2 linked regions of the Bombyx mori genome follow. The protein of the gene in region 2 interacts with the protein of the main gene of each other region in a pairwise test. Links are inferred from orthologs where the notes say so. Each region holds a gene or a part of one and is shown on either strand. Other genes may lie near its edges.

Region 1 (4,381 bases), on a different chromosome or scaffold from region 2:
TATATACATACATACCACTTGAAATTTGTCTTGGTCCGTCAGCCTTTGCTCATTCAGACCAGGTACGGAATGTTGAGCTTTAACAATTTGTTCATAATTTGCTTGCATTATACGAAGAGCGACAACATCTTTACGCAATGCATTGCGCTCTTCTTCCTGTCTACGACGCTGTTGTAACAAATACTGGATGTAGTCAATTGATTTCTGAAGGACCTGCAAGTTAGGTTAACTTATTAAGAAGTGTAAGCTTTTTTTTTTCCAGAGTTTAAAATTATAGACAGGATAGTAATAGTTACATGTAATAATCAAAAGAAGCAAATATTAAAAAAATATGGTTTGTATGTTACTTGAACAATGCTGATATTTTATAATTTGGTTTATCTGATTGAGGAAGGATGATTTTTTACACACACAGTTACAATGGTGTTGCCCAATTTCACTGAGTAATACATCAATGGTGCATGCAGGCTTTTTTTTTTTTTTATAGTTAGTTAATAGTTCAAAAACTGTTTAACTGTAATATGTTTACATTTAACAAGCTATCTATTTTATTTACTTTGTCTGTTTATTAATTTAAGTGATTACAGCAGTTTTTGTACAAGCATTTAGGTAAAAATCAGTCTCAATTGATAATCCAGCCCAAAATAAATAAAATAACTAAAAACAGAACAAATTAAAGTGAACAAGCACTTTTAAGGTTTATTGATTAATTGATATTATGGACCATATGGTGTTATGAAGAATCTGGAGCTTGAGTCATAAGGTTTAAGTCTCAATTGCTTAGTATAACAGCTTTTCTACCTTTCAAACTAGACTGCTCTGTTATGGAAAAACGGCAGGAACGGCAGTTAATGAGAGTAGGTGTTCGTACTACGCTGGTTTAATAGATACTCGGAGAAAATATACAACAAATAGGCAAATACCACACAGCCAGAGTTTGAATAACAGGTTAAAAAGCTTGTATACCAATATTATCCTTTCTAAAAATTTACTTCAATTATAACCTTTAAGCTACGTTTAAGGTTAAGACACAATTATTAATGAAGTTAGAATGCTGCCACCCATTGTGAGATAGAAGTTTCTAATTATTTTTTAAGATAATCTGGGATAGCTATGATCACATTATATAATAATAAATATTTGCGCAGCAGTCCTCAACTATAATAAATATCATTATTTGTGATAACACAGCCCTAACATATCTGAATGATAAAGTCTACAAGGTTGTTCAAATTTCATAAAATTGATAACCTCTTATTTACACATTTAACAATTAATTTGATAAGAAACTTAACATACTGCAGCTTTGCTTGGTTTGTAGCCAGACGCATCACTCTGCTGACAAGTAGGCACAAGGTCTTGGAGTGAATCATAGCCTTTCTTAATTGCATCTCTTCTTTTCTGCTCTGCCTGAAAAATGTAAAAGTTAGATAAAGACTATTATAAAACCAGTATTTTAAATTAAAATAAAACTATCAGTTCTTGTTCTTTGAGTGCCCAAAATGCACCCACAGGAAGAAGTACTCCTGATACCTAATAGTTAATAACAATTATGTATTAACATAGAGAGAATATGAAAATAGCCCAAAGAAAATATATAGGAAAGTCTACTGAGTATATTAAGCCAATTCTTTTTTTTTGTTTAGTGATAGTGTTTACTTTCACATTCAACAAGTGTGCATTGCTACAAAAACTATCATTTCCATTTAGTAAAAGATTAATAATCTGTATTATAAATTCAGTAGTCCATTTAATTTTTGTTAAATCATCTCTTAATAGCAGTGATTAGGTGATATTACTAACCTGTGTGTGAGCTTCCCTTCTTCTCTCTTTGAAACTGAGTGCAGATGCCTTGTTGTCACCACTGTCATCTTCATCCTCTATACAAAATAATAACATTCACAGTAGGTACAAATATATTTCATCCATTTGTTATCAATGAGTGCGAAACGAAAATACAAATATGTCGCTTAAACAAAAATATGTAAAACAAGTTTTAGAAAAAGTCATTACCTGTGTTTTGATTTGAGGAGGACGGCGTTTGATGTATGTTTTGAATAGATCCGCTACTGCCACAACGAGGATACATATTGGGATATTAATTGTTATAATGAAACTTTAATAAAATAAAACATTACATTAATGCGATCTTTCACTTTTCGGAGTTCATGGTGCCTTGTTCCATTATTTCTATGTAGGGTATGAAGAATACATTGATAACATTATAAATATAAGATAGTCTTGGACAAGTACTTCATGACCCGAATTAAATCACTTTTGAACCATGTGGTTACGTAACATTTACGTAACGTAATACTAAAATCAAATTTCAAATTACTGATAACTAAAATACAGTATTATTTCCGACTTTTGGTACAATTACGTACATAAGTACCTACATAGGTAGGTACGAGAATTACGTTTAAAATTATTTTTTTAAGGGATTTTATGACCTGGTAACTAAGACCTTTAGGTCATGTCTTACTTTACTTTATATTCTTATTTTTATGAAAAATGATAATATGGAGTGAAATGAAATTAAGATGATTAATTTGAGACGTTAATCAACTGGGATGAAATGAAATAAAATAAGATGATATGGGTTGAAATATAATCTCAGTAAAATGGTGGTCATTTACTGAGATTTTTTCAGTGGACATTTTGGAGGATCTCGAGAAGTTGCGTCCGGCGGCTTTGTTTCGTTTTCCCACATTTGTGCACTTTCATAGATATTGAACAGTTAATAAACCACCGTTATTACACATTTAAATCTTAAGAAACACTAAATAGACAAAATGAATCAAATCACACAACTTCACTCCTCGCATTCCCGCCAAAAAGTCAACGTTTAAAATATTTATGTCACAGCACAGATGACTGTCAACGTCAACATTTTCTTTTTTCAATATGGCAATCGACTGCTCATGATGCCAGTTCTGCAAGCAACAGAAAATACACATATGAGTAATTTTAATTTAATCAAGCTTATAAAATCTTCAAAATTATGCATAAATTAATGTTGTAGTAGTGCTAGTTATATTTATTTATTTATTATTATATATTATAAAGGGTGTCCTAGAAAGGGCTTAAAAAGCCAAAAGTTCTAGGCAGTGTTTCTCAAAAATTAACATGTGATATCAGTTTATTAAATAAACACATACTGACGACAGTCACAACATACAGAGTTCTTACGAGTTAAATTTCGTCTTACATCTTTTTTATTGAATTAGTAGAATCTAACTCCAATCGAAGTTACTGGCGTGCTTAGCGTGCGTGTTGAATGATGGGCACTAATTCTTGTTTCAAACAGGATAGGAGGCCCAGGATTTGTCCTTCATATGTCAAAGCTGTTTATTCACATAATAATATCAAAGAATGAGTTCCGCTGCGATAACAACATAGCATCAGATGAGCCGAATGTTTATCAAATAACGTACAAGAGTAAAATAAGTATAGTATAAAGAAAAAAATTAGTAATATTCACCATATTATGTATGAAAGCCGTGGTGTTGTATTTTTAAAATGTTGCAAATTGTTGCATTTTAAAGGAATCTACATTTATTTATATATGAATTCACTTTTCGGCTGTTAAATATTAGAAAATTTGCTAATCTTCTAAAATTGATTAATGCGAATATGTAATGAATTGGAATTAAGCAAGTTGAGCTAAAATGAAGTATAATAATAATAATATAAATATAAAGGGTGGAAATTTATTTATTTATATATATTATATAATTGTATATTTATTTATATATTATTTTATTTTATTTGGAAGACAAACAGTGAACTTAAACCATATAAAATCTAACCTTACAACTAAACACCATTTAAACGTCTCCGTATTTAAATAACTACAAACGATTGTGGCGTCGCAACGCCTAGAATTAAATAATTAAAGTAAAACGTAAAACAAAAACAAAAGTAACAACGATTTGAAAAAAAAACCCAAGAAAAACGTAATACTTAAATAGAAAATAATTTATTTATATTTGCATTCAACCATCGACTGACTAATGTTCTCCTAATATTATTTATTAATTATTATTATTATTATTTATGTTATGTTTATAAATGTAGATTTTTAATGTGATGTAAGTTTTTTCTTTGCTTATTTAGTGTTTCTTTGGTTTTAAACGTGATATAATAGTAGCCTTTTAATGGCTTAGCATCCGCGAAAGTGCATAAATGTGAGAAAATGAATCAAAGTCACTGGAGTAAAAGTCCAAGAATCTCTCAGCAAATTTTCATTATATTACTAGGACTTTCATCTCTTCTGATTCCAGTGGATAATAGTAACAATGGAAGATTTTTATAAACACGACGAATTTTTATAAACACGGGCAGCAAATCTGTTTTGGATATTTTCAAATGTGTCCAA
Region 2 (4,533 bases):
CCGGCGCGGCGGCGGAGCGACCTCACGCAAGCCTTGTTGACGCGATTGTTCAGCGCTTACCCCGCCTGCCTATCCGACGGCAATTAGGCGCGTAGCGTCTGCTAACTGCGCATTACGATTCTGTGCATAAAACAACAATACTACTATGTAAGCACATTGTTTCGGTTTGAGGATTAATTACAATGAACCTCTTTTCAATGCTTGATAAAACCTAAGTTCTAATTAACTTAAAATTTACGTCATTCAGTTGAAAGGCTCGTGTCATATTTTAACGGTAGGCAGCGGCTTGAGTCTGCCCCTGGCATTGCTGAAGTCCAAGGCCAACGGTAACCACTCACCATCAGGTCGGTCGTATGCTCGTTTGCCTAGAAGGGCAATAAAAAAAATCGTGAGACCTAAATACTAAATTCTCTATCTAAGATTTTCTAATTTTGTCATAACCCGAGTCCATGTTGATTGATTGCGAGGCTCGATTCAAAGCAACAACTTGTTAACTCATTTCAATAAAGTTAATATCAACAGGTGGAAGTCGTATCGCCATCGATACCGACCTGTTCAACTATACTATATGCAAATTCAAGTCTGGGCAAACTTTCTAGTTTTAGTTTGAAGAAGATTTTCGCTAAAAATAGGATTCGTGAATACAACGTCTGATGAAATAAGTTATCTTCTCGGATAACGATTTGATAGTTTTTTTATTATAATTTTATGTTAGAGTTTTCAAATATATACTCACCTTTCTGATAAGTAAATTATACTCAGTTTAAAGTTCTGCGTTTACTTTATTTCTATAACTCTATTAAGATTTTGCTCCTTTATGTAATACATATTTCTATAATTAATGTGTTTAATGAAATGCGTATAAAAAACTTATACCAAATACCTTAAAGTTAGCAGATTAAAAGAAAAACTTCGAGGTAAAAGCTAGACAATACCAAACATTTAGACTAGACATAGTAGTCCAGATTTTCATTTTAAATATTCCTTACTTGTTATTAAATCAGTTAGTTTCCGCGAGTGCATAATATAATCATTTTGCTGCAGCATTGGGTTACAAAATTGGTCGACAATGGACGACCAGGCCATATTAGCCGGACTGACTGATATCATAAGATCCTCGGAACTGATGCTATTAATTCCTGCATTTTGTCAAGCTGTCGGTATAAATGTAGCTATTGAACTAATCAACTAAACCCCCCAAACGATGAAATATTTTTTCCTACCTTTGCTGATAGCCTTGAGTGGCTATTTCAGCTTTACCCTTGCGTGTAGGTGAGCTCTCGTGGCTCAAACCGGAGTGTTGCTAACACCGGCCCTAGCAAGAGCAGTGCTTCACAGAATCTACCACCGGATCGGAATCGCAACTGAGAAGATCCGGCGAGAAACTCAGTGGGCTACGATCAAGTGAAAACATACTTGTATTTTATACATATCTTCTCTCTTACGTTACGGCGGTCAGCGCTATCAAAAGCTCAGTAAAACCGGCGATAGTTGATAAGTGTCGAACAAACACGATAACGCGGTTTTCGTTTCACAGGCGCGCTCGGCTCGTGTTTAGGAAATCACAGCGAATAGCTGGTATTAGTAGTTTTTAGTTTTGTTTTGTGTTGATTTAATGTTCTTCAGGTTTTTCGTTTTAGTTTAACGCGATACCGACTCTTGAATAGGTTTTTAATGATTTCGTTTAAATAATCTTTTATTAGCTTGCTTCAATTGGTTGGTTGTAATCTTAATGAATTGTCAAGTATATTTCCGACGAAGAGAAAATCGTGTAGGTAACGATTGAAAAAGTTATTTGTGTGCGTTGTACAAGAATGAATGTGCAATGTATTATTTGGTTTTAACCACAAAATAATTTCCAAGCTGAAGATTTAAAGTCGTTTTAGACTAGCAAAATTTCATATTCTTAATTTTTAAAATATAGCTGTCAATTTATTCCCTGTTATTTCTTTAACAAGAATCTTCTTAGAGCGGTAATTAAGATTGAAATCATCTGAGTTCAGCGGATCTTGTTTCTGTTAAAATGTACTTACTACTTAAATTATTAAACATTCAAAAGGGCAATCAATTTTGTTTCATCGTGCGACCCTTTTTTTCTTTGCTACACTCTCGCTGCTTATTCGAAGGCGATTTCTATTTCATTGATTTTAGCGTCATGGTGGAATCGAGTTGAACATATAAACAAAATAGGAAAAAGTGCCCTGATCGTGTTATCGGTCATACATTTGTGTGAGGTGCTGCTTTGATAATGATGTGGCGTCACGGGCGGTCACAATGGCGTGTTGTAAATGGTACCGTTTATCGCGAGTTTCGATAATGCACACCGAGGCAACGAGTCCATCACGAACAATGGCCGGCGCGAGGCAGCACGCACCGTTACGCAACCCCGCCTTGTGCCAGTTTTTCCTCTAGTCAGTTTACATACAGATTCTAAAATTCGTATCGTCCTGAGGATGACAAGTTATTATGAACATCAAAATGCAGAGCGAGCCACCGGGCGTTGCGCGTGCACACGTCCCGCGCCCCCCGCTGCCGGCGTCCCCTCCCTGCGATCAGCTGACCGAACTCTCCAGCGCCCCCTGCTCGCCGCGCCGGTGCGTCACGACTCCACGTACACACCGCCGCCCACTCGCACCACCAGCAAGTGCCGAGCGATGAGCTCTCTTTCGCCGCTCGGACTCATAATATTAATTAGACCGCCAATTGATACGAAGTTCGACACAACGAGCCCTTATGAACCACGGCCAATTCTGCGTGTACGAATAGAGGTGAACGTGCGACGCGTGGCGTTCTGCGAGTGAATTTCAGGCTTTCTTTGTTTACGCGGGGTGAGGCGAGCCGGGAGCGCGCGGGGGACGCCGACCGCGTGCCACTCAAGGTCAAGAGCGTGGGGCGCGGCGCCACACGCAGCCGGCGCGGGCTACTCACCGGCCTGCAGGCGCCGCTCCTGGAGCTCGATGTACCGCGCCGCCTCGAGTAGCGTGTCGAGGAGGCTCATGTCGACCGCGGCAGGCGCGCGCGGTCCCGGCGCGCCCGCTGTCACGCCGCGACTGGCACGCGGGCCCGGTGCCGCTCACGTGGCCGCTGCCGCCGCCGGCCAATGGGTGTCGAGCGCGCCGGTCACGTGACGACGCCGGCCGACCAATAAACATCATCGTAGCGTTGACAAGGCGCGGGGCGTGCGCGATCGATGTCGTTGCAACCATCGTGAACTATCGCATGCATGCCCCCGCCCGTAAGCCGGTGACGCGGCACGTTCCACACTTGTTTATCTGTTATTTTTCCTGTGCTATGTATGTACGTGTCGCCAGTCGTTATTAATGCTAGCACGATGCGTTATTTTGGACGAAAACCTAAAGAGATTCGCAGCAAGTCAACGAAACCCCGCGTTTATCATATTGCGACGAGTCTGTATACGTGCGAGACTTCGACCGACTTTCACTTCCTCGATAGCCGCTCCACAACATCAAACAAGTTGCATGAGTAAGGTGAAGTGAAAATGTGTTATCGGCTTTTCATTATGCGTATTTCTAAACGCATTGTGTCAATGGTTGTAGACAGTAAGTAAAGTTATAAAAGATAAAATATCAATCATCAAGAACAAAGGGATGTGATATGATGTAATGTAATAGAATGAGTAAACTAAACAAATAAGGTGCTCACATACATACTTACTTATCTTCAAGTACTTTTTGTGTTTCCATGTGCCATCTTCAAAGAATGTTTAATTACAACTACAAATTATTTTAGTTAAAAGCTGCTTGACTAAAATATATTGTACCTATGAACAATTGAATGATAAAAATGCATTAAAATGCGATGGATGGCGATGGTATCAACTTCAAGGAAATTGTACAAATACCTAATTTAACTACCTATGTATTTAAAACCTTTCATTTTCCTGTAACTGATGATAGATAGTGTCACCTATATAAAGTAGCTATCGCTCAATGTAACTTCATAATTATAGTTGTTGAACATAATAGGTAGGTATGTATGTATGTAGATATTTAAATGTACCTAAGTATTTTATTTGATAATTGGCTATATCGATCCGCAATGTCCAGATGTAGTACCTATATTTTATACGCTTTATATGCCCGTAATACAAAATAACCATAATATAATGTAGATACAAATGTATTTACACTAAGTGTTGATAATAATTACTAAATGCACTCACTTTTTTATTATTTACGACGAATTCACGGCCGTCCTGGTGTTGTGGTAACCAACCAAATTACACCGTGCCGGAGCTCATAAACAAGAACTTAAACGCCGCAACCCACCTTGAGACATGAGGTCTAAATCTCTGTTTTATAGTTACAACGGCTGTCCCACCCTTCAAACCGAAACGCATTACTGCTTCACGGCAGAAATAGGCGGGCTCACCACCATACAAAGTGCATAAGGTATCCCATACTATCATTTCGCACTAATACAATTGTTTTTTTTTTTACTACCTATGCTGATAGCCTTGAGAGGCTATATCGCCCTAACGTGTAGGTGAGCTCACGGGACTCAAACCGGAGT

Evidence for each region.
Region 1: the proteins of max-binding protein MNT (region 2) and max-like protein X interact in a two-hybrid assay, tested with the Homo sapiens proteins (2 studies listed by BioGRID and IntAct). The link is inferred for Bombyx mori from reciprocal best matches to the Homo sapiens genes MNT and MLX.

What each region holds. Positions count from the first base shown.
Region 1 is NC_085115.1:6,335,984-6,340,364, forward strand, and holds the start of max-like protein X, read right to left. Parts: upstream 2,839-4,381; 5' UTR 2,090-2,838; coding exon 2,014-2,089; intron 1,881-2,013; coding exon 1,804-1,880; intron 1,411-1,803; coding exon 1,300-1,410; intron 214-1,299; coding exon 16-213; intron 1-15. UniProt on the Homo sapiens protein: Transcription regulator. Forms a sequence-specific DNA-binding protein complex with MAD1, MAD4, MNT, WBSCR14 and MLXIP which recognizes the core sequence 5'-CACGTG-3'. The TCFL4-MAD1, TCFL4-MAD4, TCFL4-WBSCR14 complexes are transcriptional repressors.
Region 2 is NC_085122.1:12,276,075-12,280,607, reverse strand, and holds the start of max-binding protein MNT, read right to left. Parts: upstream 3,047-4,533; 5' UTR 2,999-3,046; coding exon of another isoform or gene 2,929-2,998; 5' UTR 1-2,928. UniProt on the Homo sapiens protein: Binds DNA as a heterodimer with MAX and represses transcription. Binds to the canonical E box sequence 5'-CACGTG-3' and, with higher affinity, to 5'-CACGCG-3'.